Mus musculus: one gene and its partner. The protein of the gene in region 1 binds, or shares a complex with, the protein of each later gene. Links are inferred from orthologs where the notes say so. Each region holds a gene or a part of one and is shown in the gene's direction. Other genes may lie near its edges.

Evidence for each region.
Region 2: the proteins of Src (region 1) and Ptpn1 are in contact, whole or in part, in a crystal structure (PDB 3ZMQ), measured with the Homo sapiens proteins. The link is inferred for Mus musculus from reciprocal best matches to the Homo sapiens genes SRC and PTPN1. Residues at the interface, in NP_005408.1 of Homo sapiens: Glu527, Gln529, Tyr530, Gln531, Pro532; in NP_002818.1 of Homo sapiens: Arg45, Tyr46, Arg47, Asp48, Val49, Asp181, Phe182, Ser216, Ala217, Gly218, Ile219, Gly220, Arg221, Ser222, Gln262.

The regions. Positions count from the first base shown.
Region 1 is NC_000068.7:157,462,113-157,465,914, forward strand, and holds part of Src (neuronal proto-oncogene tyrosine-protein kinase Src), read left to right. Parts: intron 1-597; coding exon 598-696; intron 697-866; coding exon 867-970; intron 971-2,516; coding exon 2,517-2,666; intron 2,667-3,760; coding exon 3,761-3,802. UniProt on the Homo sapiens protein: Non-receptor protein tyrosine kinase which is activated following engagement of many different classes of cellular receptors including immune response receptors, integrins and other adhesion receptors, receptor protein tyrosine kinases, G protein-coupled receptors as well as cytokine receptors.
Region 2 is NC_000068.7:167,930,598-167,935,199, forward strand, and holds the start of Ptpn1 (tyrosine-protein phosphatase non-receptor type 1), read left to right. Parts: upstream 1-1,729; 5' UTR 1,730-1,896; coding exon 1,897-1,959; intron 1,960-4,602. UniProt on the Homo sapiens protein: Tyrosine-protein phosphatase which acts as a regulator of endoplasmic reticulum unfolded protein response. Mediates dephosphorylation of EIF2AK3/PERK; inactivating the protein kinase activity of EIF2AK3/PERK.

The DNA.
Region 1 (3,802 bases):
TCCCCATGACTTGCTGTGTGACTTTGGGCATGGCCCAGTTCTCTCTGGCTTCACTTCCCCAGACAGGGCTAGGCTGCAGGAGGAAGCCTATAGGTTTTGGTTAAGGACTTTAAGGTGTGAGCTATGGTTTGGAACAGGGGCACGTACTGTTGTTTGAAGGGATAGGCCTGAACTATTGCCGGGCCAGAAGCGCCAGCCCTTGTCTCCATCGGGCATCCAGGCTCTCAGGGCTTGGGGAGAGTTTGAAGGTCTAATGTGGCATCTATCTCATGTAAACTCTGCTTTTCCCATCCCTGCCCCAGACAGCGAGCTTCCTCCCTTCCTCTCTCCTAAGGCACCTGCAGGCCACTCTGCGCTTCTGGACACTTCAGTCTGGGGTGCGTGGGGCTCAGTTCTGCTGAGGTTTTAGGTGGCATCCCTCTGGGTCAGTATGTCATTATGGAGGTGGATGTCCCAGGCCAGTTCCTGCTGGCTTGCTGTGTACGCAGGCTGGCTCAGCTTCCTCTGCTGCGGAGCCTGGCCGTGTACCTGGGGAGGTCAAGGTTACCGACCCCGATCCCCCGTGACCTCATTCTTTGCTCCCTCCCTCCTGCTCAGAGAGGGAGACTGGTGGCTGGCACACTCGCTGAGCACGGGACAGACCGGTTACATCCCCAGCAACTATGTGGCGCCCTCCGACTCCATCCAGGCTGAGGAGTGAGTATGTTGTTCGGCTATGGTCCGCTGCCACCACCACTTCTAGTACCGAGTCCCTCGTGGGCCCGAGTGGGTAGAAGGCTGGCCACACTGAGGTCTCAGTACCCAGGGCCAGCACTGTGGGCAGCGAACCCTGGCCAACAGGCACAGCCTTGTCCCTCCCACTCCAGGTGGTACTTTGGCAAGATCACTAGACGGGAATCAGAGCGGCTGCTGCTCAACGCCGAGAACCCGAGAGGGACCTTCCTCGTGAGGGAGAGTGAGACCACAAAAGGTATGCCTGAGTGAGCGGTGGCTGGCAGAGTTCAGCTTTGAGGGTATTACTTGAGCTGGGTATTGGAGAGTGAATAGGAGTTTGGTACATGAGATGGGGAGGGGAGAGCCTTGCAGTGGAGGAGGTAACAGGAATTAAAGTTAAAGTGGCACTTGAGGAAGACTGAATGATCCAGAGGTGGACAGGACACGCAAGCTAAGGCTTCCTCTGGCCTCAGTTTCTCACATGGAGAGTGGGTACAGTTTACCAGGAGTGTGACACAGCTGTGGATATGTTTTACAGATGGGAACAGGAGCCGTATGCCCCTCTGTTTCCCTTTTCCCTTTCCCAGGGGCCTTTTCTGGCCTTACCCTTCCCCCACACTGTCTCTGCTGTTTCTGCCCTTTCTCTTAGTCCATCACCATGGCAACCAAGCCAGGCTGCTTCCTGTGGGCCTGGGGCTCAGCGGGAGATGGAAAAGTGCACATACACACACACACACACACACACACACACACACACACACCCGTGTGCTGTGCACAGTACACAGGGATGATGGGTGTGTGGTGTGTGTGTGGTGTGGTGTGTGGGTGGGTGTGTGTGTGTGGTGTGGTGTGCTCGCTCACTGTTGGGGTTGGGCAGTGTTGCTGGAGTGAAATGTGGCGAGGTCCCGGTTCCTGGGGCTTGGGGGTATGGGCAAATGTGAGAATGTGGGCTCTGGGCATAGGTATGCCGTCAGCGGAGCCTTCTGTGTGCACATGAAGTGGGCAGTCAGTCTGTAGAAAACATGACTTCCCAAGGGTTGCCTTGAGACAGGTTAGGGTGGGTCCCAGGCCTAGTTCTCCCTGACTCACTTATGTTACCAGAAGATCACATTTACCTAATGACGTCCAGTGGGGCTCCAGGGGCCTCATCAGTGAGTGGTGGACAGTCCGTCAGTCCTTCCACTCAGAACTGCCAGCTACATGGCAGGCCGCTGGACCCTGCACCCCGCCTGCCTCTCCCCAGGCTATCCAGGCTATCCAGGCTATCCAGGCTTTAGTTAACAAAGGTTTCTGTTGAGGACATTCTTAGCTGCAGGTTTTCTAGGCTCCAGAGAGGCAGCGCAGGGGCAAGGGCTGCAGGCCACACTCAGGATGTACCTCCTGCCCTGGACTAATTACTCACAGGTCCACACAGCCAGCCGCTACTCCTGTCTGCTCAGCTGGTGTCCAGTAGGCAGAACAGGGCAGGCAGGCACGGGGTGGGTATACCTGGAGAGGGCCAGCATTTATGGAGTGCTTGCTGAGTACCGTGTGACTCTTCACGGTTGTCTCATTGTGTAGGGAGGAAACAGGGCAAGCAGCAACTTGTCAGGGTCACACAGTTGTGAGCACCTTGGGGTTCAGGTGTCTTACCAGGGCTGTGAGGCACAGGGGCATGTCTGCCATTGGGGTTTTGTGCCTACACGGCTGCCCTGCTCCTCTCAGCACACTAGGGGCTGAAAGAGAGTGGGACTAAGTCACTTCCTCAAGCAAGGAACACACTAGCAGGGTACCTCTGGGGTCTCCTCCCTGCCTACCCACAGGTGCCTACTGCCTCTCTGTATCCGACTTCGACAATGCCAAGGGCCTAAATGTGAAACACTACAAGATCCGCAAGCTGGACAGCGGCGGTTTCTACATCACCTCCCGCACCCAGTTCAACAGCCTGCAGCAGCTCGTGGCTTACTACTCCAGTGAGTGTCCCCGGCCGGCCGTGTGGGGACTCGCCCAGGGGAGCAGGGTGTCTGCCGTGCCTCCTCACCCCTGGGATGCCTCTTCCCTCCCTGCCTCTCCTCCATCTCCTCCCTTCTCCCCTTGCTCCCTGCCCAGCCCCCCTCTTCTCCTTCCGCTGCAGCTGGCCAGTGAGGAGGGGGCCTGCCTTGAGCACGCTAGAAGGGAGGGGCTAGAGGCTGGTGTTGATTGTTTCTGCAGCCCTAAGACTGGTCTGAACCGGTTCCTGGGAGAGAAGGAGGGGGAGGCTTCTTTGATAGAGAATGGCAGAGCGGGCTGGAGCTGGGCTGCGGGCCGTGTGCAGTGATGGGGTTGGTGTGGGCTCTTCTGTGCGTGGCTGTTTCAGGTGTAGCTACTTGAGCTGCCTCCTTGGCCTGGGCCTCAGCCTCTCTCAGAGGACTAGCTGCCCCTCTGTCCGTCTGCTGATGCTCTGGGGATCATCTGGTTCCCAGACCAAATCCTCCAGGGCTGCCACGGAACCTTATGATACAGTCCCAAGGCCCCAAGCCCAGGTGGCTAAAGGTTGCTCCATGCCTTCACCTGCAGTTCCTCCAACCGCATCTACAGCTTCCCACCTCCCAGCACCTCTTCCAACCCCACAGCCGATCTTGGGCTCTGGCACAGGCGATGTGCTGTATGGGGTGCCTCCTAGTTATCCCTCAGATCCAGGCCAGGGACCTCTTCCTCTGGAATGCCTTCCAGGGCTCCCAAAGAATTCCTAAAGCCTGCTTGACTTCCCCCTCCCAAATATCCTCTGTTTCATCTGTGTCCTGAGATCTTGCTAGGCGACTGGAGTCGGGGTGTGGCCTCCCTAGGGCAGACTCTCACACCTGTTTCACACTAGTTCTGATACTCTCAAATCTGACAGGTAACCAATGAGTGATTTGAGCAGGTGACTTTTGTGCCGCAGGCCCCTGGGGAATAGATGTCTACAGGAGGGTGTTTGCCTGACCCCAGAGCCAATGTGCACATGATACATAGAGCCGTACACACAGGGCAGGGAAGCCAGCTTGCTGTGGGACCCTGCCTGAGCCCCATTCCCTGCCTCCATCTCCAGAACATGCTGATGGCCTGTGTCACCGCCTCACTACCGTATGTC
Region 2 (4,602 bases), about 10 Mb from region 1:
AGGGCTAGGATTACAGACATGTTTAGCTGCTAACCCTGCTTGGCAATGCTGCCTTGGACAAGGGCTTTGTCTGTGTGCTTTGCTCTTGGCAGCTCTAAGATGGGAATCAAAATGCCTCTGTGAGGGGGGATTGTGGAGAGTAAATGAACATGGGCCCTTTTGCCTACCTCAGTACCCTTGGAGCAAACTGGAAGTCACTCTGTCACACCAGGAGCTGGCACTGGGCACAGGACACGGCTCCTACCTATGTCTCCCTTTCTATCCCAGAATGGAAGTTTACAACTCCATGTTCCAGTTACATTTCCCCAGGGAAGGCAATCCCATCCTTCACACATACTTCAAGGAACCCAAGCATCGGAACCAACATTCAGTGCTCACCCTGGGCAGTCTGAACAAACCACAGAATCTGCACCCAGATGACATCAGAGAGGAAGATTTTTTTTTTCTTTTAAACATGTTTTTAGATTTATTTGTATGATGGTTTTGTATGCATGTATGTACAGTAGTATGGTATCACATGTATACCCTGTGCCCTTGAAGGTCAGAAGACGGCCTGAAACTAGAGTTAGGATGGTTATGAGTCACCAACAAACCCCAAGGAAGATTTTTTCCCTTTTGGTTGTTTTTTTGTTTTGAGAAGGGGTCTCACTGTATAACTGGCTGTCCCGGAACGATGTAGACCAGGCTGGCCTGGAACTCAGAGACCCCTTGCTTCTACCTGGAGAGTTTAAAGGCAAGTGCCACCACATCTGGTCAGGATTTTCTTGATACTGGAGAAAGACAGAAAACTAGCACCACATGTCCCATCCGTTCATTCTGCCAGGGTAAAAACTCTTATGGACTTTCCCAAGTTTCATGAGAGCAGAGTGGCCAGCTGGGTGTTAGCACCTGTCCAAAACTCCGGAGACTGAGGCAGGCAGATCCAGAGCTGGAGGCTGGCCTGGGTTACGTAGTGAACTCCAGGCCAGCTCGGGCTATAGAGTGATTCGTTGTCTAAAACGAACACTCTGCTCGCTGGGATGTGGCCGGAGTAGGTCCTAGCATGCACGGAGCTCTGGTTTATCCCCCGCAATGCATGTCTGTGATTCCAAGACGTGGGAGATGGAGGCGAGAGGATCATCCTTCGCCTGACAGCAAATAAGAGGTTATCCTTGGCCTGACAGCAAGTGAGAGGCCAGCCTGGAATATCGTGACCCTGAGTTAAAAATAAAGAACGGAGCCCGAAGTGATGGCACACACCTTTAATCCCAGAACTCGGGAAAAAGGCAGCCGGATTTATGAGTTCGAGGCCAGTCTTGGTCTACAGAGTGAATGTGAGGACGTCCAGGGCTACGCACAGAAACCCTGTCTGGAAAAACCAAGACAAAAAGGAAAAAAAGAAAAAAGAAAAACAGACCGGGACAGGAAACGCCGCTCCCACTCAACCGCCCAGCTCGAGGCCACGCCCTCGCCGCCTGACTCAACCGGCGGGCTTGAGGCTCGAACTCAGGATACTCCCCGAGTCCCGCCTCGGCCCACGCGCCGTGGGCGCGCCGCCGGGGGTCGCTTGGGCAACGGGCGCGCGCCCTCCGGAGCGCGGAACCCGGGAAGCCGCACGCGGCGCGCGCAGCAAGTCTGCTCCTCGGGTTCGGGCCTCGTCCGCGATGCCCCGCCTACCGCTCCGCCCCCGCGGAAGTGCCGGCCGCCTTTTCGCTAGCTGACTGGTCCTCCCGTACAGAGGGCGGAGCTCGCGGTGAGGCGGGGGTGCGTACTTCCGGCTGCCGGCTTGACATGCAGAAGCCGCTGCTGGGGAGCTTGGGGCTGCGGTGGTGGCGGGTGACGGGCTTCGGGACGCGGAGCGACGCGGCCTAGCGCGGCGGACGGCCGTGGGAACTCGGGCAGCCGACCCGTCCCGCCATGGAGATGGAGAAGGAGTTCGAGGAGATCGACAAGGCTGGGAACTGGGCGGCTATTTACCAGGTGCGGAGCCGGGGGCCCCTAGGCCGCGCCGTCTCCCCGACCCTCCCGGCTCGGGGGACTCCTGTCGCGCATCCTCGTCGCCCTAGACCCCTCTTGGGGTTCGCGGCCCCTGCGACACCCCCACTCGCCTCTATCTCTCCGCGGTCCCTGTCATCTTCGAGCTCCCCCCGCAAACCCGACCCCAACATGGCCCAGCCACCCTTTGTCCCCACTGGTCCACACCCCTGCCGCTTCCTTGTCTGGACTGGACCACCTCAGGCCCTCTTCCTTTGTCTCCTGGGGAGGAGGGTGGGCTCGCCGACACCCCCGCCCCCTCACATTTCACTTCCTCGGGCCTCGGTGTGCGGTGGTGGAGGCCCGGGGATGACAGCCCCCTTACTCCTTCCTGTCCATTCATTTGTTAGACGTGAGCTGGAGGGTCTCTTCGGTGCTAGGCTTTGGAGCTGGTGTGTATTGAACGCCACCGTAGACCTAACCTATCCCCCCCCCCCCGAGAGGCTATAGTCACACAGACATTCAAATACTGATCATTGCATCTGGTGACAAGTGTTGAGAAGAGAAAGACCTGTTCTGGTGGAGGGTGACTGTACGCAAAGGGGCTGCCTTGTCTAGGGCATCACCGGCAGGGCTGCTAGCGGCTCGACAGGGAAGGAGACTTGCTCTTTGAATAGACCAAGGAGTGACAAGCCATGAGGTTAGGCGACTAACTAGGGGGACACAGAACCCATTCCTATAGCTGCCTGACCCTCTCCAAATGGCCTCTTTCTTTTGTCTTTTATCCTTTGACCGTGAGCTGAGATGGTTTCTGTTTTCTGTGATCCGGTCCACTTGAGGGGTTCTGGTGGTTCATTAAAAAAAAAAAAAGTATTATGAAAGTAGGGTTCTCCCCCCCACCCCCCGCCATGTATGAAACAGTGAATTGAAAATGCAAAGATGTCTTTGCAAGCAGCTAAGTCCTCTAAAGAAAACAAATCTTCCGATTAAATGTCAGTGCGGGGGTTGTGAGGATTAACCATACTCGCCAGGCATCTTAAATAAGCATGTGCAAAATAGATCCTGTTCCTCGGGTAAAGAGAGCAGGCGGTTTATTCTGCTTTCAGCTTCTAGGTTCAAAAGACAGCGGGTGAGACCCATCAGCTGGAAATTGAAATCTATTTTGAGCTTCACTTAGGAAAGTAGGCACCCTCAGGCTGTTGTTTGGTGTTCTTGACTGACAAAACCTTTTTTGGGGGGTTGCCTTGGTTTCCAGATTCTTTGACAGGGTTCTTTTTACTTGGGCCTCGGTGTGCTCGTCAGCTTTTTTGGGGGGCAGATATTTGTAGCTAGTGTAATCTGTGTCAGTCGAGCGATCAATTGTAACATTTGTATTGCACGTCTAGTCTATGAATTGGCTGGACAGATTCCACTAAGGAGTCAGGTCTGTGGGCAGATTTTCTGTATCAGATTAAATGCAAGGGGATCCCAGTGTAACAACAGCACGTGAAGATTGTTCTGTAAGCCACTCTGATGTGTGGAGGTTGTTGGCTAAACAGACCGTCCCAAGTGGAGACCGTTGAATCTTTAGTACTGAGACAGACTTATTTGGTAACAAATTGGCATCATTAATAAGTTATGGTAGAATGTGGTTTTTTACGCTTTTAGGTTAGAGTGGCCTGCCCCGACATCTAAGCCTTGTTAAAGCTGGCGCAGAGTGGGCTGGCTTTGAAATCTGTTTTCTTCATTCTTCTCCAATTTCTCCTCCACACTTAAGCCCCACACGTTAGTAAATTGCTAGTAATAGTAATAGTAAGCCCCACAAGTTAAGTACGATGCCAGGGTCCGCACAGCCTGTTCACAAGTGCTTGTGCCCTTGGTTCCCCAGTGTGAAGGTTTTATGTTCTCTCTCTCTCTCTCTTCTTTTTGTTTTTTAGAGATAAGGTTTCTCTGTGTAGCCCTGGCAGTCCTGGAACTTGCTCTGTAGACCATCTGGCTGGCTTTGAACTCAGAGATCAGGCTGTTTTTGTTTCTGGAGTGCAGGGATTAAAGGAGTGTGCCACCCTGCATATTTGTAGTTTTGAAGATGGTTATGGAAGTGCTCCTGTTTTACATTTTAAAAGTAGCCTTTTGACTTACAGTTGTGAGCATTTTGTTGTTGTTTTATTTTGTCTTTTTGCTTTTTGCTCAAGACAAGGTTTCTATATGTAACAGTCCTTGGCTGTCTTGGGGCTCCATTTGCAGACCAGGCTAACCTCCAACTCAGAAATCTTCCTGCCTCTGCTTCCAGAGTGCTGGGATCAAAGATGTGTGCTTCAATTGTGCCACTTTTTAAAACCAGTATTTGAATGACCTTGAGTGAATGACCTAAAGCTGTTTTTCTAATATAAAGGATAATTTCTCTAAACCTTTTGTTTCAGCTTAAAGAAAATATGTTTACGATTGGTGGAAAATAAAAGGGTTGAGTTGTTTTTTTTTTTTTTTGGTTTGGTTTGGTTTGGTTTTTGGTTTTCCGAGACAGGGTTTCTCTGTGTAGCCCTGGCTGTCCTGGAACTCACTCTGTAGACCAGGCTGGCCTCCAACTCAGAAATCCTCCTGCCTCTGCCTCCTGAGCGCTGGGATTAAAGGTGTTTGCCACCACTGCCTGGCAGTTTTTTTGTTTTTTATTTT